Schizosaccharomyces pombe: one gene and its partners. Changing the gene in region 1 together with any one later gene gives a genetic interaction. Each region holds a gene or a part of one and is shown in the gene's direction. Other genes may lie near its edges.

Region 1 (8,001 bases):
GGTTCATGCAGCTTTCTAAATTCTTTTAATAGTTTTGGAGATTGGTTATTTGGATCGTTTTGGTGCATCATATCCTCTTCTTCTAAGTCCATCTCTACAATTTTTTCCATTTCTTTGTCCATTGGCATTTGTTGCAGCTTTACAGGTTGAAGTTGAGCATCTCCTCGTTCAAAGGATTGGCCGGTAATACCTTCTTGTTCATTGATAACTTTAGCATTTTCCAAGACGGTGGGACGTCCGGGAACGATATGGATATCTATATGCTGATTGATTAATTTAATGATAATTGACCCACCGTTTGAAACGTTTTCAAATAAGAAATGAAGCAATAAATCAAATGTTATCCTAGAAAAATGGAGTTGATATTTATTTTGCCGGTATTGTTGAGCAGTGCGGTCTTCTGCGACATGGCTTGGAAGACTCAGCGATTTTAAGTTTTTTACATCAAAGTCATGAAGATCAGTATGATCGTCTTTGAAGAGTTCGTAAAATTGCTTTGCTATAGCACGTTAGTAAAATTATCATTTATCCTTATAAAGAATTAAATATGGGTGGTCAAGTGGAATGAGTTTCAGAAATAAAGACAAGTTGTAAACTCAATAGATAAAGAAACTAATAAGTATTTAGAATAGTTCAAATACCCCTCTTGTTCGTAGATCATCGAAACAAACATGTAACAAATTCGTAACCTCCTCCAATATGACCAACTTACCAGCTTCATAATGATCTTGAGACAAGAGATTAAGATATGAGTGAACAAATATAGGAAATAATATCCTGTGAAGTTCAGCTTTGTACAATTCTAACGAACTATCCACCCAGTCTCGTAAGATCGTATACGTGTGTGTGTATGCATCTGGAGTTTCCTCAATGCTTTTTAACTTCTCCTCTACTGACACGCCAGAACCCGATGCTTCCAAACGAAGCATCGCCTCGGTCCTTGAGTATCCCTTCTTCGCAAGGTAATCCAGAACAATTCTGTTCAGATCCTGCGGTTGCGGCCCATTAGTGGCAGACATGGTTAAATTCTCCAATACTCTAGCTTGAAGAAATTAATTAGAATCCAAATATAAATCTACAAATGACCGTGATTCATATAATTACCTGCGCAGAGCTCAAAGCAACTTGCTAGGAAGTAGCATATGTCGAGTTCGTGTCTATTAACATACCATTGTGTACCACGCTAAATTGGGAATTTGCAGGATTTATGAATAACTGAAATTTGGAAAGGTTCCACAGTGTCTGTGAGCGTTTTGATGTCGAAATCCTATCTAAATTACTATTTCTTTTGTCCTACTCAAAAATGAACTGTCTATGAAATTGTTTTAATGTCAACACAGGATTGCGAGGCAATGAACGCTAGAAAAAAAAAATAAATAAATAAAAGTTTTGCATAGTAAAACTTTTTCAATTAGATACTTTTTAAAATTCTTTTTTGATTTTCAATTCGGTTTTAAAAACTTTCACTTACTTTTTTTTTAGAAGTTTCATCCCAATTTCGGGATGTTTATAATTTTTTAATTAAATTATAGTAGGGCCCCTTATTAAAATAAAACTAAATGTTGGGTTGAAATTTAAATAGGGAAAATGTAGAAGTTTTTTTTAAAAAATTCAAAAAATTGGGAAATTTCATATTTCCTTCAAAATCATTAGTTTATAACAAAAATTGATGTAGCATTGATAAAATGAGTTTATCAGAAATTATATGTTTTTTTTCCTGTTACAGATTTGTATGGTTTTGAGTCTTAATCGGTTTATTTATTTATTGATATATTTATTTACATTATTGAAATTTACAAATAGTAGGTTGCGATGAAGTAATGGACTGTAGATAATAACTGTAAACTATCAATTATTTACATTCATTTTTAATTATATTTAATTTTCTTCTTTACAGTTTTCTTTCTTTTGGACCAGTTTTAGGGATTTGGTGGTAAGTACTGTGTTTTCATTTGCCTTAACATCCAAAGCATCCTTGCTACCAACTAGCCTATCTTCATCCAGCGAGACGACTTGACAGTTTTTTCGTTTTAGACGAAATAAAAACCAACAGCTCCAAATTTCGACTATTGCAATGTTCTAATTAATGCTGATAATATTCTATTGGTTGGGAAGATCGATTAATCTACTTTTCATAAGCATATAATAAAACATCTACATGATTTTTAAGTCACTAATATTTTCCTCTTCTCAATAATTAGTAATATAACTTTGCGAACTGAAAATCACTGTCAAATTATTAAATCTTATATTTTGGTCGATATTTGCTATTGGCTTAGTTATTTCTTGCAACCTATTCTTCATGAACGGCGTTAAATAATTTAAATCCCTTTTATTGTTGTAACTGTTGCTGGTTAATATTTTTTACTATTCATTCGTTTCCATTATGTCTACAAGGTCAATCGTTACTAGTAAAGTTTCTTGGACTCCAGAGAAGTTCATTTCAGCTCTCAGTTATCCTGAGCATTGCTCTATTACTCTCGTTAAGCGACTCAAGGCTTCTGTAAAATTAAAGGACCTCAAGCAAAATATATCTCGTGATGCACCTTCGTGGACGTTCGAGCATTTGTTTGTGGCTTTCAAATGTGCAGTCAGTAACTTAGCTAAGCAATGGGCGGAGCTATCCACTACAGATAAGGAGAAAACTAGAAGGATGTTTTGTACACCTTCTAGATTAAATACGGCTCACCGTCCCGAGGTTTTCTACCTGTTAGAATGCTGTACATATATTCTCGAACAAATGCAGGTGGTAACCAAAAATACAAGTCATTTGTATGATTGCATCCGTAGCGGGGTTTCAATTTGTAATCGGCTCCTGGACATGGAGATTTTTGAACCAGCTATCAGTCTTTTGATGAAAACTCATAAAAACCTTATAATTTTACTGACATATCGGGACCACGATGCCATCCCTACTGCTACCCTTCTTAATCCCACTTTAGATGTTTCAGAAATCCAATTAGAAAGCTGCCTTTTTGTTCCTATGGTTCCTGCCTCTTATTTCTTAAATATAGGCACTATCGTTGTCACATTTCAGCTCAATGTATTACGATGTTTATCTTTAAGTCAAATTAACGGTTTGTCTTTGAATACAATCAATAACTTACAAAGCGAAGATGGCCCTTTTCAATGGATTGAAAGAAGCTTTCCTTCCCAGGTTCAATTGGCCAATTCGAGAAGAGAAATTTTAGCTCGTTTGTTGACAAGATTTTCCATGATACAAAATAACGCCTTACAATCGTTCAAACTTTTAATCCTCTCTATAGCTTTATGGTTGAATATTCTTTCTTCCCAGAGAGCTGACGATAAAGAGTTTGATGTAAATCAGCTTGAAACGAGAATCCTCCAACTTTTCTCAAAAGTTGTCCAATTATGTAAAAGCGAAGATATTGAAGGATCTATTTTAAATAAAGATATGACACAACTTCATCATCTTCTGGAAAATTTATCAAAAGAATCGAGGTTGCATATTTTGCTTCAACTTTCTCAACTTTATTATAAATATAATGATTTCCAATTAAGCGCTGCATATGTCATTAGAGGCTATTCTTTGTCATTTGAAGACATCAGTTTTAAATTAAAATTTTTATTATTTTCTTTTCGATTATCAATTCACGATAATAGCATTTGTTTTCCGTTCAATTTAATCCAAGAGTTGTCGTCACTTCAGCAGCTCTTTGTCGAAAATGCTTTACCATATTCAGAAGCTCTACATTTATTGGATTCAATAGAGCGATCATTTCGACTTTTCAATGACTCGACGGTTTTTGATGATACTGTATTTGCTTTGAACATATCAGAAATTTTATCGTGGATACTCTCATCGGTTGTGAGGGATATCCTTGTCGAGGATGAGCTTTTAAATCTCCAACTTAAAATAAGAAAGTTTTTGATGTTTACATTTCATATAATTAGGTCATTTAGTGAGTTGACTAAATTTCAAAGTTCTCTGGAAGGCTGTTTAAATCTCGCAGCCTACTATGAAGATGCTGAATTTCCTCAAAAGCTTTCCAATCATCTTTACAACTTGTGTGTAAAATCTTCTAATGTTAATTATGCACGTGAATGCATAAGTTTGAGTATCAAAATTGCTGTATCACATAAATTGACTAATGATGAAACATATCTCCTGAAAATTTTAAAAAATTTTCAACTTCGGTACCACGATTCTTTACAGTTGCAAGAAAAATGTGATGTACTCCATACTACATTCAATCAACTGGATCTCTATGTTGGAACTACATCTGTTGGAAAATCTAGTGTATTGGATAACATTTTAAAACGTATATTCAACTCTTTAACTTCTATAAATGATTCAAATATAGAAAAATTGCTTGAATCAATAAGCTATTCCTTGCTCAAACTTTTTTTTAAATGTGCAAATGAAGGTTCTCGATATAATGCATCTGCTGCTTTATCTTTTAAATTATCTCTTATGTTACATGAAAAAGAGGAGGTCCTTTTGCTTAAAACAAAGTAAGTATTTCTACAATTTTCTTATTTGCTGACATTTAGTGTTTCTTGCGTTTTGGCAAACCATGGGTATAATGACATTAAATTTGAGGAAATGGTTCTTTGCGTTATTAAAGGTGACCAAAATCTCCTAGAGCATAATTCCAACAATAATGCGAAATTAGCTTTAAACGAGTCGCTATTATGCTCATGGGAAAATTTGCTATGTTACAGACGTGCGGAAGACGATAGTAGGATACTTACAATAATTGAGTCGTGGACTATTTTTATATCTCGATTTTCTTCGGTCATTTCTCGTTGCTCCTTCACAGATTTTGAAATTAACTCAATTTTGAATTTTTTTTGTAAGTTTTCAATCGTAACCGGCGTTTCTAATTGTTTATAGTTTGTTTTTTACATACGGTGGAGCCGAGTGGAAAACTAACATTCGAGTTGGCTTTCCTTGAGATATTTTACGAACTTTTCAATTGTCTTCTTCATCTTCAATTTTCCAAGTATCTGGTCATCATTGGTACTTTGCTTAGTGATAAATATATGACGCTTGGCTTCTCAGGGAAAGCTCACTTGTTTTATACCAAGTGTTATAGCTATCTTCGTCAATGTAAAAGCAGTCCTTTTATAAACTTTTGGAATGTTTCTTATGGTAAATATTTGATTTTAACCGGAAATACGGATAAAGGGTATGAAGACTTTGTGAGATAGTTACTAACGAGCTCAGAATTTTACAGTTAAAAAAATATTCTCTTTCTTCTGAAGAGGATTTCAATTCAAATGGTTTAAGTCGGACTGTTAGCCTCAATCTTTTGCTTTATGAAAGGATACAGCTAAGTGATGCCCTATTTCAACTAGGCTACACCACTGTTTCTCTTGGCTTTATAATGCAAAATTTAAAGGTTATTAAGGGATTGTTTTCTAAAAGCTCAAAGGAGCATTTCAACGGCGGAAAATATATTACTTGGCGACTTTTCGCTGTCAGTGCTCACTCTAACGTTTGCGCTGCAAGGATTTATGAGCACATGGGACAGGCGCGAGAAGCCGAATTTTTTTATCGACAAGCTTGCAGTATTTCTGAAAAGATGCCGTTTTCTTGTTTTTCAGCTACCTTCCAATTGCGCTTATGCTCACTACTAACAAGGGCAGGAAAGTTAGAGAAGGGCGAGAAGATTTTATTTGATCTTACTGAGGCGATGAAAAGCACAGATACATACCATAAACTTTTATGGAATTACGGAGCAGCTGAAGTATGCGCAACAAAATCCGAGTTGGATGGTGCCATATGTCACTATTCAGAATGTGTAAAACTTTTAGAAATAATAAAGTCAGAATATTACCTTTTTTTTAATAGGAACCGCGAGAAGTCTCTTACAAAAGGAATTAAAAGACTCAGTCTTTCAAGTCAACCAACTTTTGTTACAGAATCTAATACTACTGAATTTGATGACTGGTCAATTCTTCAAAATACGGCAGCCAATTTACTTCGTCTGATTTCTATGTTTGAGTTGAAAAGAGGAAACTTGGAGATTGCAAAGGCTTTAATGACTGACTCGACAAAATGCTCAATTGCAAGTTTTTTCAACATAGTCTCAGCTAATATTTTAAAATCAAAGCTTATTGTTTGTGAAGCTGATTCCACACTATTTGGCGATCCCGTCCTACGTACTCTTCCCGATTCTGTAATTTCATTACCTGGAATTTCTCATAAATTTCAGAAAAATCAAAGTAAAACAAAAGCGCTTGGAGAAAATACAGGATTTCGCAAGGGATCCAAGCGCTTAGATTATTTACGTGAGAGGCTTAAAATCAATTTGCAGAATGTTAGATTAAGCTGTGAAATTATATTTTCTAATGCATATGAGCGGAGCTCTGTATGCGTTTGCAGGGAGGTCAATGAATTGATATCGTACTCAACAATTATGCAAAGTGCATTAACCACAATTGGCGAAACGACCGACGTCGATTCTAGTTCAGCCTCATTTTTTTTAGAGATCCCTAAAGCTCTAGGATTCCATAGACGTCGTGAAGCACAGAAATTCAGAAACCAGCACAAAGAACTTCATTTTAGTAGTTTGGAACAAATTTTAAATAGTCGGTTATCTATACCTGATGTCCGTACATTTCAAGACAATTTTATTGATTCATTACCGTCGATCTGGAATGTCGTTTCTATTACTATTAACAATTCTGGAGAGGATTTGTTCATCTCAAAAATACGCAAAGGTCATTCTCCGCTGATTTTTCGTTTACCATTGCAAAGACATAATTCACGTGACGCAGACGAAGAAATCCTTGTGTTTACAAAAGCTCAAACCGAGCTATTTCGAATTATCTCTAAAAGTAATCAGATGGCTCAGAACGGTAAACATTATACTAGAAGAGAAGACAAAGAAACTTGGTGGAAAGAAAGAAGACACCTTGATCAATGCTTGCAACAACTTTTAGAAAATATTGAAATATCATGGCTCGGTGGATTTAAAGGTATTTTCAATCCACATAAAATTGATACTTCTTTGTTTGCCAAGTTTTCCAGTCAATTTCAAAACATTATAGCTAAAAATTTTAACATGGACAAGAAAACACCTGTCCCTACACTGTCGCCTGAGATCCTAGAACTATTCATCACCTTAGGAAAACCTGGGTATGAAGGTTACGAACAGCTTTTAGAGGATTTGATTTATTTTATTTTGGACATTTTTCAATTCCGAGGTCTTCATTTTGCATACGACGAGATTGATACTGATCAACTATCTATGGATCTTCAGGATGCTCTAAATGCCTACTTCAACAATTATGTCTCTGAAGAGAACAGGAGTCATACGGTCCTTGTACTGGATAAATCAGTTCACCAATTTCCGTGGGAATCTTTACCATGCCTAAACCGACAATCGGTATCACGTGTGCCTTCATTATCAATTCTGCGGGACATCTTGTCCCAATCATTTGTCGTTAATGGAGAGTATGTTGAAGTGCGTAAAGAAGCAGGTTCATATATACTAAATCCTAGTTTGGACCTTAAGCATACTCAAGAAATGTTTGAACATAAACTAGTTGAAGGTGGGTGGAAGGGATTAATTGCTAGTCAACCTTCTAATAGAGATTTTATTAAAATGCTTTCAGGTAATGATTTTTTTCTATATTTCGGACATGGAGGAGGAGAGCAATATACAACATCTTATGACCTGGCCACTCTAAAAAGGTGTGCAGTCACTATACTGATGGGTTGTAGTTCTGGTGCTTTGTATGAATGTGGCTCATTTGAGCCATGGGGGACTCCTTTGGATTATTTGAGTGCTGGGTGTCCAACGTTAGTTGCAAACTTATGGGATGTCACCGATAAAGACATCGATAGGTTCAGTTTGAAGATGCTTGAAAGCTGGGGACTCTTTGAAAATAAGGCACCTTTTGTGAATTCAACGAGTATATGCACAGCGGTCAGCGAAAGTCGTTCATGCTGTCATCTACGCTATTTGAACGGAGCAGCTCCTGTGATATACGGAATACCTGCTTATATTATTCCATAAACTGTCTAAA
Region 2 (4,989 bases), on another chromosome or scaffold:
AGGTATTCGTTGGCTCCACCCCTGAAGGCTTTACTGCCTGCTTTTCAGCAGTTGCAGTATTATTTTCTGAAGCTTTAGTGCTATTGCTTTTATTGGATTGACTGCTGGCCAAGGCACGAGCATAACTAAACTTTGGAGTATTTGACGGTGGTTTTGAAGACATTATACTCTTCGTTTATCTACAATTATTCAAAGTAATAAAACTGAAGAGACCACCGAATATTAAAACCTTAAATTAGTTCGTTTGTTTTATATACAACAACCGAGTTCTTTTCTTCCTATTTCTACTGAAAGAAAGAACACCAATTATAGATTATTATTGGAACGGAACAAGACAAACAAATGTAACGTTCTGTATTCCGTTAAATATTAAAATACCCTCCAGATGAGTTGATAATAAATTTTCAACTGAAGTGGTTGGGTTAGTGGTGGTGGTCAAGAGAAGCAATAGAACGAAGCAGCAAACTCTTCAAATTGTGCCGCTTACGTTCTATCAGTAAATTTAACGAAATTAAATCTTCTGCGATAAACACGTTTTATGACTGTTAATAGATATTCGCAAATTAAAGAAAAGCTGTTCTCCAAGGTAGAACAAAAAATATATTTTTTCGGAAAGTACTGTCGACTTGCGTTAATGTCACGCTTCATAATTCATGTTACTATTTATTGGTAGAAATTATCTTGATTGCCTTCTAACGAAATTATACTCTTCTTCTGGTTGGTTTCGAGTTTATGAGTGATTCTTGTTTTTGTGTTTCCTGGAAATTCTGGCATTGTTTATTGTAGTTTCTCATTGAAGAGTATTTCATTCGATTTAAATAGCAATATATGAAACAAAAAGTATATAGGTTATTAATAGATACTCAAGAAGCATGGCCTTTTGAAAGAACTGTATGTTTTTAGTTTTATCTAAACAATTTTTCTAATACGTTAGAGGATACCCAGTTTTAAAAAACTGAGCGATTCTGAGCGACAACAAATTGAGAGGTACTATTTCGACATGGATGCTAAAATGGCATTGGCTTCTATACTTATTAAAAGGCACTTAGTCTCCACGGCTCTCGAATGTTCACCAAATGAAGTACAAATTTCTGTCACAAAAGCCGGGAGACCGTATTGCCAATCAGCACACTGTCCTCCTATTATATTTGACTTTAATGTATCCCACTATGGGGGAATCGTAATTGTAGTAGGAGCATGGCTTCCATCAGATCCTTCAGGAATGCGACCGATCAATATTGGAGTTGACATCGTCGAATGTAAACCGTTAGCTTTTGAAGCATCATGGATGGAAGATTTCATGAGTGTATTTACTCCTTGCGAATGGAAGTTGATTAAAAGTTCAATTTCTAGTATTGATGTTTTTTTTTTGCTCTGGACTTGCAAAGAAGCGATTTTGAAAGCACTCGGTATCGGATTAAGTGGAAACCCTTTGGATATTGTGGTAACATTTCATAAATTAAATGAGCTGTTAAATTCCGAGGAAGTGTCTTTAAGAAGAGCAGCAACTGCAGTGTATTCAGGATATTCTTGGGACTTGGAAATTCATAAACTAATACTTCACTCTAGTACTTTTTACGTCAGTGTCGCCTTTCCACAAGACTGCGTAATAATGGATCTAAATTGGGAGACATTGAACGACTTGTAATTTTTTTTTATTAACATGTATCATCGCATTGTTTTAGACCGTGATGCCTCCTTTGCCTGTCTCCCTTAATGCTTGGATCGAGTTGCATTAGTAGTGTTTTTTTATTCTCTGATAATTTACCCAAACTCTTTTTGGATTTATCAGAGTTTACACAACTCTATACACCATCCAGATGATTTACCTATTTTTGTTTATATGTTTTTTTTACTAAAATGCTACATTGCTTTATAAGATTTAACATATCTTAACGATGGAGCTCAAACAATAACAACCACCTGTTTGTACCCACATGTTTTTGTTGACATTAACTCCCATCGTTTCCAAAACTTTAATAGATTTGTCATGACAGATCGATTGAAATGTTTAATATGGTATTGCATTGATAATCAGAATTATGATAATTCAATTTTTTATTCAGAACGTTTACATGCAATTGAAGATTCAAACGAGAGTTTGTATCTTTTGGCATATTCGCATTTCCTAAACCTCGATTACAATATTGTATACGACTTATTAGATAGAGTAATTAGTCATGTTCCTTGCACATACTTATTTGCAAGGACCAGCCTTATTTTAGGCAGATATAAACAAGGAATAAGTGCTGTGGAGGCCTGTCGATCGAATTGGCGCTCCATTCAGCCAAACAGTATGTGGTGATTTATTTCGCGAAACCTCTAACTAAGTTATCTAGTAAATGACTCAATTAGCAGTCGTGGACATCCAGATGCCTCTTGCATGCTTGATGTTTTGGGTACTATGTATAAAAAGGCAGGGTTCCTCAAAAAAGCTACAGATTGTTTTGTAGAAGCTGTCTCCATTAACCCATATAATTTCTCTGCTTTCCAGAATTTAACTGCAATAGGTATGTGACAGATGTTTTGTTGTGAATTAGTAAATTCACTTTTGTCAAAAAAAAATACTTATTTTCGTTTATTTCTATAATTGTGCTAATATATTTTGCTGAATAGGCGTGCCACTCGATGCTAATAATGTATTTGTTATTCCACCCTACCTTACGGCAATGAAGGGTTTTGAAAAATCTCAAACGAATGCTACAGCTTCGGTACCAGAACCGTCTTTTTTGAAGAAAAGTAAAGAGTCTTCCTCATCTTCCAACAAGTTTTCGGTTTCTGAATCGATAGCAAATAGTTATTCAAACTCATCCATTTCAGCATTTACTAAGTGGTTTGATAGGGTTGACGCTTCTGAGCTTCCAGGAAGTGAGAAGGAACGACATCAAAGCTTGAAATTACAATCTCAATCTCAGACTAGCAAAAACCTTTTGGCTTTCAATGATGCTCAAAAAGCTGATTCTAACAATAGGGATACGTCTTTAAAATCCCACTTTGTGGAACCTAGAACCCAAGCATTAAGACCAGGAGCTCGTTTAACATATAAATTACGCGAAGCGAGAAGTTCTAAAAGAGGAGAGAGCACACCTCAAAGCTTCCGCGAAGAGGACAATAATTTGATGGAATTACTAAAGTTATTCGGTAAGGGTGTTTACCTGCTCGCCCAGTATAAGTTACGAGAGGCTTTAAATTGTTTCCAAAGCTTGCCCATCGAACAGCAAAATACACCTTTTGTTCTTGCAAAGCTTGGAATAACCTACTTTGAACTGGTTGATTACGAAAAATCTGAAGAAGTGTTTCAAAAATTAAGGGACTTGTCGCCTTCACGTGTCAAAGATATGGAAGTCTTTTCAACTGCACTTTGGCATTTGCAAAAGTCTGTTCCTTTATCTTACCTTGCCCATGAAACTTTGGAAACTAATCCTTATTCCCCAGAATCATGGTGCATTCTTGCTAATTGCTTCTCACTTCAACGTGAACACTCGCAGGCATTAAAATGTATTAATAGAGCTATTCAATTGGATCCAACTTTTGAATATGCTTATACGCTTCAAGGGCACGAGCATTCTGCAAACGAAGAATACGAAAAATCGAAAACATCTTTCCGCAAAGCAATTAGAGTAAATGTTCGACATTACAATGCATGGTATGGCCTGGGAATGGTTTATTTAAAAACAGGGCGAAATGATCAAGCAGACTTTCATTTTCAACGTGCTGCAGAGATCAATCCTAACAACTCTGTACTCATCACTTGTATTGGTATGATTTACGAACGCTGCAAAGATTACAAAAAAGCACTTGATTTTTATGATCGGGCATGTAAACTGGATGAAAAGTCTTCGCTTGCCAGGTTCAAGAAAGCCAAAGTGCTTATTTTATTACATGATCACGATAAAGCACTCGTTGAATTGGAACAATTAAAGGCAATTGCGCCAGATGAAGCAAATGTTCATTTTTTGCTCGGCAAAATTTTCAAGCAAATGCGGAAAAAAAATTTAGCCTTAAAGCACTTCACTATAGCATGGAACTTAGACGGCAAGGCTACGCATATTATTAAGGAATCGATTGAAAATCTGGATATTCCCGAAGAAAATTTGTTAACTGAAACAGGTGAAATTTATAGGAATCTGGAAACTTAAGAAATTATGTCTTGTATTTTAGGGATGCCAAAAAATTGTCGAATGAATAAGTTAATGAGTTAGAATGTTTACGTCTTCATTCTGGTTAGGTTTAAAAATGATGATTTTCGTTTAGAAGTTATATATTAAAATAAAGGTATAATAGATATCATTAATAACCAATGATAAAAAAAATTGTGTATAAAATCACCGTGGGTATAACTTAAGTTTAAAGTGTGCAATTAATGAAATGTCCTCAGGCCATTCATTTTTATTACGAATCACCAACGTTACTATCACCGCACCAACCATACTTTAAAACGAAAGGAAGGGTTGTTGAAAGTTTGCTCTTCTCTACTGTGTACATATTCGAAATGGGTTTTATTAAGAGCACGCTGCTTGCTACTGTGACAGTATTTGTTGGTTTGTGCGGAATCAACCGATTTTTTACTCTCCCGAAATGTATTAGATATCACTTTCGCTATTTCGCATGTCACACATTTTTAGCTATTAGTTCTGCTTATGGGGTTATAGCCTCAGTTGTTGCACGTTTATGTGGTTATCCCGTAATGGGACAATATTTAACTGCAAAGGCATATTATGGACTGGCTAGTACAATCCTTGACTTTCGGTTTAAAATCGAAAACGAGGAAATTTTGAGAAAACATAAGTCTGCTGTCTTAGTAGTTAATCATCAATCGTAAGCATACCTCAAAATATACTTCTTTATGATAAAAAATAACTGACTTACAATTTTAATTAGTGAATTGGATATTTTGGCTATAGGAAGGACTTTTGGCCCTAATTATTCTGTTATTGCTAAAAAGTCTCTAAGATATGTGCCCATTTTGGGATGGTTTATGATATTGTC
Region 3 (5,067 bases), on another chromosome or scaffold:
TGGGGTACGAGCGGCTTCCTCTTGTAGTTGAACCCATTGCTTTAGAGATCCCAAATAATTGCCAATGTGAGGAATTCCAGTAGGCTGAATACCTGAAACAACTCTGCTATGTGGAAGGAGAGAAGTGATTTTTGGAAGTTTAGCCATTCTTTATTACTTTTTATTTAATTGGTTTATAAAGTGAACAAATAAATAAAGATAAAGAATAAATGTAATGAAAATAAAAAAAAACAGCTGTGTTATAATCCAACTGATTACAGCTCGCAGACAATTTTTTCAAAAAGGAACAAGGCCGTAGAAACGAATGCTACACTTATGACTAGGTCAGAATGAAAACAAGCAAAATATAGGAGGAATGTTCAATGACACGCAGATAAGACAACAGGATAGAAACTTTTCTTCTCTACCAAAGATAGTTGATAAATGGTATCAAAACGGGATTATTTTTTTGGTAAAATCAAGTAGCTAAAGTTCATAACCATACAATTAAAGCGTTGCAATACCTCAGAAACTGAGAAGATGCCTATAACAAAAAATGGGATAAGAAACCCAAACTATGGGAGGAAAAAAAAGATTAAAGGCGGAAAGTGATATTGTTAGAAAGTATGGAGAAAATCCTACAATGGTGGGTATTTGAATTCTTCATAAAAGAAGGATAGTTTACATGGAGCGAGTCATTGAATGAACTTTAAGCCGTTAAAAATCTACCGAAAATAGCTCGTTTAAGCGTGAGGTTATTTTTTTTTTATTTTTTAACGAATTTGTTACAAGTGTCCAGAAGTTCGTAAAACTTGAAGAGAGCAAGTAAATTTGTATAAACAAACATGTTTTTTAAAGTATAAAAACTTTGTAAATGATATTTAAGTTGGTGTAGAAATTTAATGTAAAAAAATTTTGGATGCTTTTTGTGTACGATAGATCGACTAAAAAAACATACAAGAATGCGCAGGTCATGCCATTCTTTTTTTTTCCATTAATTTATTCCATATTGACTCGCCATCCCCACTTTGCGGTAAATAAGCGCTGCAAAGTTTCTCGTTGATTTTTACTTTCCTCCCTCTACCACTCCTAAGAAGAAAAAGGAAATTTTTTGACTAAATAGTCATGATTTCAGCAATATTCTACTTGTGTTAGTGATGTTTTAGCAGTAGACAATGATTTTCAAAAAGCTCGAAAATACGGGTTTTCCGCAATACCCGCTACTATTTTGGTAGAAAAACAAGTCATTGTTAGTTCGTCGTTTTAAAAACGCTATCGTGAAAATGAAGATTCTTTTGAAAAGATAAAAGTCTTTTAAATCCGCAGAAAAAAGAAAAAAGAAATTAAACAGAAGAAGCTTGTATGGACTTTACTTCGGCTATTTGCATTCATTCTTCACCTCCTTATGATTGGTGTGTGTAAGCATGCAAGCGACTGCTTTGGTTTAGGTGCAATGAAATTCACTATTTCATTTAACGTTTCAATGGTTCAAGACTTCGCAACGACGAATAGGATCATGGATTGATATCGTAAATAACAATTAACAAGCCCGAAGGAGGTGGAAAGAAAAGCAATTTGATGTAAAATTAAGCTAGCGAAGAATTAAGAATGTAATCAAGCGCCCCACTGCAGTGCCGTGATTATCCTTGTCTTTTAAACACCGAAGTTTAAAATCCTTGCGCTTAACAAGCGATAGTGATCGACGGTGGAAACATTTTTTTTACGACCTCGAGGAGTTGGCGCTTTCTTTGCCCATAAGCATCTTCTTGTCTTCACCACACTTGAGCATTTCCGACTAGCCAAGGCTGGTCAATTTGCCCCTCAAATATTTTCTGAGGATTTAATAGTTACGACGTATAGAGGGTGCTTTTTAATTTTTGGTATCTTAAAAAAGGTTTGTATAGTACCGGTTGGATGTTGGCAAGTAGATAATTTTTTGTGGTAAATTTTTGCACTTCCGATAAACGTTCTGTCAGGCACAGGATTATGAATCCATCTGATTTACCAGGTCAAATACCTCTGTCTAGATCAGATATGAATGTCCAAGATCAATTGGACCCGGTTCAACGCTTTGATACTCATTTTATGCTTCCCCAGGAGGAGAATTTTTTGAATCGCCCCTCCATAACCTCCGAATCTGCACATCCACGAGGAAGTGATTTAGAGCAAGAGACAGAACTAAAAAGACTTGCGTTGGAACATGAACATTACTCTTTAGAGTCGCTAGCGGAAAAGCTGCGAATGGACCACGTAAGTGCCAATTCGGAAAAATTTCGCCAGGTTTTTGGCATATGTTGGTTAAAGCGTGCTTGTGAAGAACAACAAGATGCTGCTGTCCAACGAAATCAAATATACGCTCATTACGTCGAAATCTGTAACTCTTTGCATATCAAACCTCTAAATTCCGCTTCGTTTGGAAAACTGGTTCGTTTGCTCTTTCCTTCCATCAAAACCCGACGTTTAGGCATGCGTGGCCACTCAAAATACCATTATTGTGGTATTAAACTGCGTGGTCAAGACTCTTTTCGCAGACTACGTACCTTTTCAGATTCAAGTCTTTCCCCCGTTTCCTGTTCTTCGTTTCCCAAACCTATTCCCAATCATTTTGAAAACGATGTTTCTTCTATTCAAAACACAAATCAGCGTGTAGAAAGCAGCCCTGCATCGGTTAATGCTGCGGCTATAGTTAGAAAATCCGCTGTCACCCCTTCATCAGATCCTTACAATTCGCCTCCTCCTTCTATACCTTTGCTAGGAAGTCAAACCAATTTGCAATTGGCTCCTTCTTTTGCTGCTCCACAAGCCCATCCCCTACCTTCACATCTTTCACAATCCAATGTTCCGCCACAACTTTCTCATTCTTCGGTACCTTCACCTGCACCACCCCGTTCTGTGTCCCAACCGACCTATTTTTCTCAACCCATGCCTCAGTTTTCTTCTTCGTTTGTACCCGGTACTTCTTCGATAGTACCTACCTTGCATCCTGCTTCTGCACAAGAAGATTTTAATCTTCAACATTCCCTATTCTTCAAACTTAAACTTAAATTCTTGCCTCCTCATAAGCTTCCTTGGATCCCATCATTAGACGTGTCTTCATTTTCCTTACCTCCTATTGACTATTATTTAAATGGTCCATACGATAATGTCGAGGCGAAATCTGCATTAATGAACATTTATTCTTCGCATTGCATTACTCTAATTGAATCAGTCCGGTATATGCATCTCAAGCAATTTCTGTCCGAGATCTCTAACTTTCCCAATTCCCTCTCTCCTTCTCTTTTAGCTTTGCTGTCCTCTCCTTATTTCACGAAATGGATTGAGCGTTCTGATACCGTTATGTACAGGGAAATACTGAAGTTGCTATTCCCTATGACTCTTCAAGTGGTACCTCCGCCAGTCTTGGTGCTACTGCGTCATTTAGCTGAGAATCTCGTTAATCACATATCCAGCATATACGCTTCTCATTCATCTTGTCTTCTCCAAGTCAAATCTGAGACTGCCGCAATCTTTAGTAACTTATTGTCTCGTCTTTTGCGTGTCAACGATACGGCTCATGCTGCTGCTAGGTTCCTTGCCAACCCTGCCGACAGGCATTTAATTTGTAACGACTGGGAACGATTTGTCAGTACAAGATTTATTGTACATAGAGAATTAATGTGCAATGACAAAGAAGCAGTAGCCGCGTTGGATGAGTGGTATTCTATCCTTTCAACCTGTTCAAATCCTTCTGAGCTTTTAGACCCTTTGAAGGACAAACATGAAGCCAGTGATACATCAATGAACAGGGTCGAACTTCGACAAATTGATGGTGTTTTAGATCGTATGGCAGATTTTTTTCTGGAGTTGCCTTCCAGATTTCCCTCCTGCTCTCCTAGAATGTTTCTTCTATGCCTAGGCGCTTTACAAACTAGTGTGCTTCGTGAAATCACGGTCAGTGGAGGTGAAGCATTTGGGGCTCTTTGGGTAATTAGATGTTGGGTCGATGAATACATGACTTGGGTGGCAGAGATTGGCGGATACCTCGATGATAGTTATGATGAGCTGGAACAGCATCATGCTAACTTTCATAATAAAGCTGGAATATCTCAGAGTAATATCCCTCCTCATTTACAGGAGCACCGTCAATCCCAGCAACACTTCCAACAAGACATCGAAGCTTTGCAATCACAACAACAACAACAAGCCACTAAAAATTCCTTGATGGAAGCTGCCTACCAGAATGCTCAGAAGCAAAAGGAAGACGACTATATATCCATTGTATTTGATACAAATGGTGCTTGTAGTTGATGTACAATATAGTTGACCCTTTTTAGGGCTTCGAAAAAGCAAGCGTAATTACACTGACAAAAGTTAATATCATTCATATTATTGTTTTTGTTTTTTAATATATGTTTCTTTTGTTCAGGAGGTCTATTTGTTTAAGTCTGTGAACTTTTGAAATGCAATTAGATTACTATAATCCTGGCGCTTGTTTCTTATGGGTGAACGTCCATACATATACCAAATTGAAAGTGACTATACTTTATATTTGTTTTTTATTTCTTTTAAAATTTCACTGTCAGTAAATAGAGTTTCAACATTTTTGTCTTTAATTTTGATATCGACTATCACATATGTATTGATTAATATAAATGTTCTCCGATAACTATTTTATAAAACCTATTTAAACTATTGAGTGTAATTATTGCATTTCTCTGGCAGTAACAAGAATATTAAGCCCATACAAATGAGGAAATTGGCATCGATATCATTCAACAAGAATAGCGAACCCCCAAAAAAACAGCATCATACTAAAAGCGAACTTTCTACGAGAAACTTCGTGTTTAAAAAACAAGACTTCAAATAAAATGTTTAAATATTCCCCTTAAAGACCATATATTAAATTAAAAAAACGACAAAATAACTTAAACAACGGAAAATGGAAACATCAACCACTATTTCAAGTAAGAAGGTTTTCGGCGCTGCTGAAGTTTTTTATATTGCCCCTTCCGTCCACTCATTTTCGATTTTTGTAATTCTAGATATTTTTTCTTGAAGTACGATCGTCTTTCTGAATCGTGCAATAATTCGTCAACAATTGTCTCTTTG
Region 4 (3,539 bases), on another chromosome or scaffold:
GTCCTTCAATGTTTCGCTTAACTCATCAATGGCGTAAGTAAGCTCAGTATTTGGTGAAAGGACTCCAGAGTTTCGTGCGGCCATAAAAGAATTGTAAAGCTTTCGCACTTGCTCCATTTGATTTGATGCATCCCTATATTTCGAATAAATGTCAGTTAAATAAAATCTTAAAGCAACAAAAGGAATCTATTAAGACATTTCTGGTTCATCATTGCACAACTTACGCTTTGACTTCATAAAAGGGGTCCTCCATGTTGATGATGTAGAGATATGAGCCAATTTTCTACTTGGAAATGCTTTTATAATTTAAAGAAAAATAAGATAATATAAAATAAACGAAGCAAATTCGTATTATCAGGTATGCTGTCTGCAAATACTAAAGTACTGTGCTGATTCAGTCAAGTAACGACTTTACGATAGATAACGCTACCTAACTGCTCACTCAAAGATCACCGTAAACATTGAGTCCTTACAAAACAAGTAATGGAGAATAAATAAGAAAGCAATATCTCAATCTTGTTGAAAAAACAGCAACCTCCCCTTGTCACTATTTTGTTTTGATTCAACCGTATTCCACCGTTGTATGTTAGATTAAATGTAAACATCTAGGTAAATAAAACGTTTTCAATGGCCAAAAGCAATCTTTCATTCTAGCCTTTGTGCTAAAAAATTAATTCTATTGCTAAAAACCTAAGACTAAATGTTTTAAGAGAAACTGAACACAAAGAAAGTCTTGTGAGCTAAAACAGTACGCTATATATCGCTAGCTTGATGTAAACAAAAGACGCGTAGACACTATTAACATGTTATCAAGAACCACAACATGTCTGAAATTATAACGTCTTTGCAAACAGAGCTGAGCAATCGCCATGCTAACATGGTATCTGAAGCAGTATTAGCATTCAGTGAGCATCATGATAGTGCATTGCATTCATATTTTTTGAATGCACGTGTCAAGTACGTCCATAAGTTTCTTCAGCTAATTGACCCAACAATTCAGAGACGTGATTTTAGAAAGCCTAAGAACGACAGAGGAGAAGCTTCGTGCTTTAGATAAATTACAGCTGGATGCTTCGAAAAACCTGTCAAACCTGTTGGTGGAATATAATAGTATAAACGCAGAATTGGAGTCCGTCAATAGTAAGATCTCTTCTATTTCTTCCCAAGAATATGCATTGGAAGAATTTCAGGCACTTTCCCAGAATTTTGAGAAGAATTTAGTTCAGCATCGTCGTAATTCCCAAAATAAGCTCAAATGTGCAATGGAGGTAAACATAAAAACAAATTATATTGTCATATTACTAACCTCAATAAATTTAAAGAAACTAAAGATGATTGAAACCTCAACTCATAAAGCTATTCTCGACAATTTTTAAATTTCAGAGATCTAATGTCATACTGCCTCAAACCAAGCTTGATAATAACGAAGAAAGTCAACTTTCATCAAACACGCTGACATCGTTATATTAAGGTCTAAATGAAACGGCGCTAAATTTGCTTCTGAGCTCTATGAAACATACATAAAGAAAAGATGTTTAAATGCGTAATTTCTGATAAAGTTATTCTTCTTGGATAGCTTTTTGATATTTACTACAATTGATATTCTAAATGACTTATTATCTTATTCTCTTACGTTAACGAAGTTTAAAAAATTTATTTTGCGATATGCAGTGAGTTTTCCACTTCCACCGGTAATCATATTCCTTTGATCAGTATAAGTTACCCTTTTGTTTTGACCTTATCTCCTGAGGCAACTTTCAACACCATTCTAGCGGGTACTCAACTTTTTGCTCTCGAACATAGTTTAATGAATTTTTATCAAATTGAGTATGGACGAGGATGAGACGACTTATCCAGAGGCTTTGAGACGCTTACTCATTGAAACGCCGGCGGCAATTTGGCAACTGGACGATGAAAGTGCGCAGTGCAATAATTGTGGTGGTCCTTTTACCTGGTTTCGGAGAAGACATCATTGTAGATGGTGTGGTAAACTTTTTTGTTACAATTGCTGCAATAGTTTTGCAAAGCTTCCTGTGAGCAGTGTTTCAGTAGATCCAACTGAGGATCTTATCCCACAAGACATGTTTATTAGAGATCCTGATTTTCTTGCTAATGATAATGATGATGATAATGATTCACAAGACTCTTCATGGATCAATGTACGAGTTTGTGTCAATTGTCGTCAGCAATTGTCGGAACTAAAAGAACTGGATTTACCCTATCCTATCACTACTTGTTTGAACGATGATACCACTACTCGATCTAACAATCAAGTTATACAGTCTTCCTGTGGAAACAATTTGCAGAGGATTGAAGAGCCTGATGATTTTGTTGAATGTCCAGTTTGCTATGCTCCTCTCTCAAGTTTTAAAACCCTTTCTGAACGGGAATCTCATGTTGCGAATTGTCTAAGTAATAATAGTTCATCTCCAAGAAACATGACTGAATTTTTGAAACACGCTAGAAGATACATAAGTATGCAGCTATCAGAGACTTCTCCTTGCCTGGGGCAAGAATGTATTATATGCTTTGAAGAATTTGCTGCTGGTGATAGAGTTGCAAGGATAGAATATTGTCTATGCATTTTTCATTTAAAATGTTATCGTGATTGGCTGAGTACTGGGGCTGCTGGTTGTCCTGTTCATGCCGCTACACTGCATTTATCTTAATATCGTTCCAAATTACTTCTAGGTTTCTAATTTCGGCTTCGGTTGCTTTTGCATGATTAAATTGCTGTCTTCTCTCTCCTATTATTTCTAGGTATAGGCATCTAACATTGTATCATTACTTGGTTATTTATTTCAGTTATGCCCTTTCTTTTCGAATTTGTTTTTCTTGCATTGTAATCATACATTGGGATGTCGAATTTTTATACATATACTAATACTTTAATGCCTTTACAAATCGTTTCGCATATTTTATATCCTTACAAATATAATATAACTTTTAATCTCAGTAAAAATATTATTTTAAATGAACTCAATGATTATGTACCACCAAAATAATTTGCCTATATTAGTATAGTAATGCCAGAACAAAACAAAAAAAAAGAATTATGGACTATGCCACAGAAGCATTGACCTTTTTCTTTACAGGTCCCTCATCAGCGGTTACTTCAACTGGCTTTCGCTTGGTTACTAGAGGAACCTCCAGAGGCCGAATGTAAGGCTGGACACGCCACCAAGGAATAACAGGGTAACCCATAGAATCTTTAACAGATTCCTTAACATCTTTATCTTCATTAATTTCTCCCTTCTCTTCGCATTCTAGTAATCTTTTCCGAAGCATAGCAACCACAGGAGGAAACGTCTCAAAATCACGAGGGGTACAACCTTGTGCTAATTTACTTCGAATATCAGTGTGAATACTCAACAGAGGTCTCATTAATTTAAAAAGATGGCCCTTTATAGCAGACAAACTACTATAATCTGATTCCAACTTGAATTCTCTGATTATGTTAAGATACTCTTCGCACATATCATCGATTCGTGGGTATAAAGTCATGAGAGGTGATGAGGGAGGTAGAAAAATACGGGGAT

What was found.
Region 2: mutations in cut1 (region 1) and nuc2 are lethal when combined (synthetic lethality), as found in Schizosaccharomyces pombe (2 studies listed by BioGRID).
Region 3: of cut1 (region 1) and sak1, extra expression of one is lethal in a mutant of the other (dosage lethality), as found in Schizosaccharomyces pombe (one study listed by BioGRID).
Region 4: mutations in cut1 (region 1) and pib1 together harm fitness more than expected from each alone (negative genetic interaction), as found in Schizosaccharomyces pombe (one large-scale study listed by BioGRID).

The regions. Positions count from the first base shown.
Region 1 is NC_003421.2:641,426-649,426, forward strand, and holds the start of cut1 (separase/separin), read left to right. Parts: upstream 1-1,983; 5' UTR 1,984-2,386; coding exon 2,387-4,476; exon of another isoform or gene 4,477-4,515; coding exon 4,516-4,817; intron 4,818-4,858; coding exon 4,859-5,153; intron 5,154-5,191; coding exon 5,192-7,991; 3' UTR 7,992-8,001. Other genes in the region: taf5 (transcription initiation factor TFIID subunit 5), read right to left, coding at 1-499, 713-1,019. UniProt on the Schizosaccharomyces pombe protein: Caspase-like protease, which plays a central role in the chromosome segregation by cleaving the rad21 subunit of the cohesin complex at the onset of anaphase. During most of the cell cycle, it is inactivated by securin/cut2 protein.
Region 2 is NC_003424.3:4,496,142-4,501,130, forward strand, and holds nuc2 (anaphase-promoting complex TPR lobe subcomplex subunit Apc3), read left to right. Parts: upstream 1-1,954; 5' UTR 1,955-1,990; coding exon 1,991-2,294; intron 2,295-2,339; coding exon 2,340-2,510; intron 2,511-2,616; coding exon 2,617-4,139; 3' UTR 4,140-4,440; downstream 4,441-4,989. Other genes in the region: tif471 (translation initiation factor eIF4G), read right to left, coding at 1-163; alpha-aminoadipate reductase phosphopantetheinyl transferase Lys7, read left to right, coding at 829-891, 935-1,648; 1-acylglycerol-3-phosphate O-acyltransferase Slc1, read left to right, coding at 4,493-4,818, 4,882-4,989. UniProt on the Schizosaccharomyces pombe protein: Component of the anaphase-promoting complex/cyclosome (APC/C), a cell cycle-regulated E3 ubiquitin-protein ligase complex that controls progression through mitosis and the G1 phase of the cell cycle.
Region 3 is NC_003424.3:3,146,406-3,151,472, reverse strand, and holds sak1 (DNA-binding transcription factor Sak1), read left to right. Parts: upstream 1-1,753; 5' UTR 1,754-1,965; coding exon 1,966-4,266; 3' UTR 4,267-4,525; downstream 4,526-5,067. Other genes in the region: tryptophan--tRNA (Trp) ligase Msw1, read right to left, coding at 1-147; rRNA processing protein Fcf2, read right to left, coding at 4,914-5,067. UniProt on the Schizosaccharomyces pombe protein: Positively regulates cyclic AMP-dependent protein kinase-mediated exit from the mitotic cell cycle.
Region 4 is NC_003423.3:2,390,388-2,393,926, reverse strand, and holds pib1 (ubiquitin-protein ligase E/phosphatidylinositol(3)-phosphate binding protein), read left to right. Parts: upstream 1-1,829; coding exon 1,830-2,669; 3' UTR 2,670-2,990; downstream 2,991-3,539. Other genes in the region: tlg1 (SNARE protein Tgl1), read right to left, coding at 1-133, 225-253; protein mug20, read left to right, coding at 824-957, 1,001-1,268, 1,323-1,376; tRNA dihydrouridine synthase Dus1, read right to left, coding at 3,061-3,539.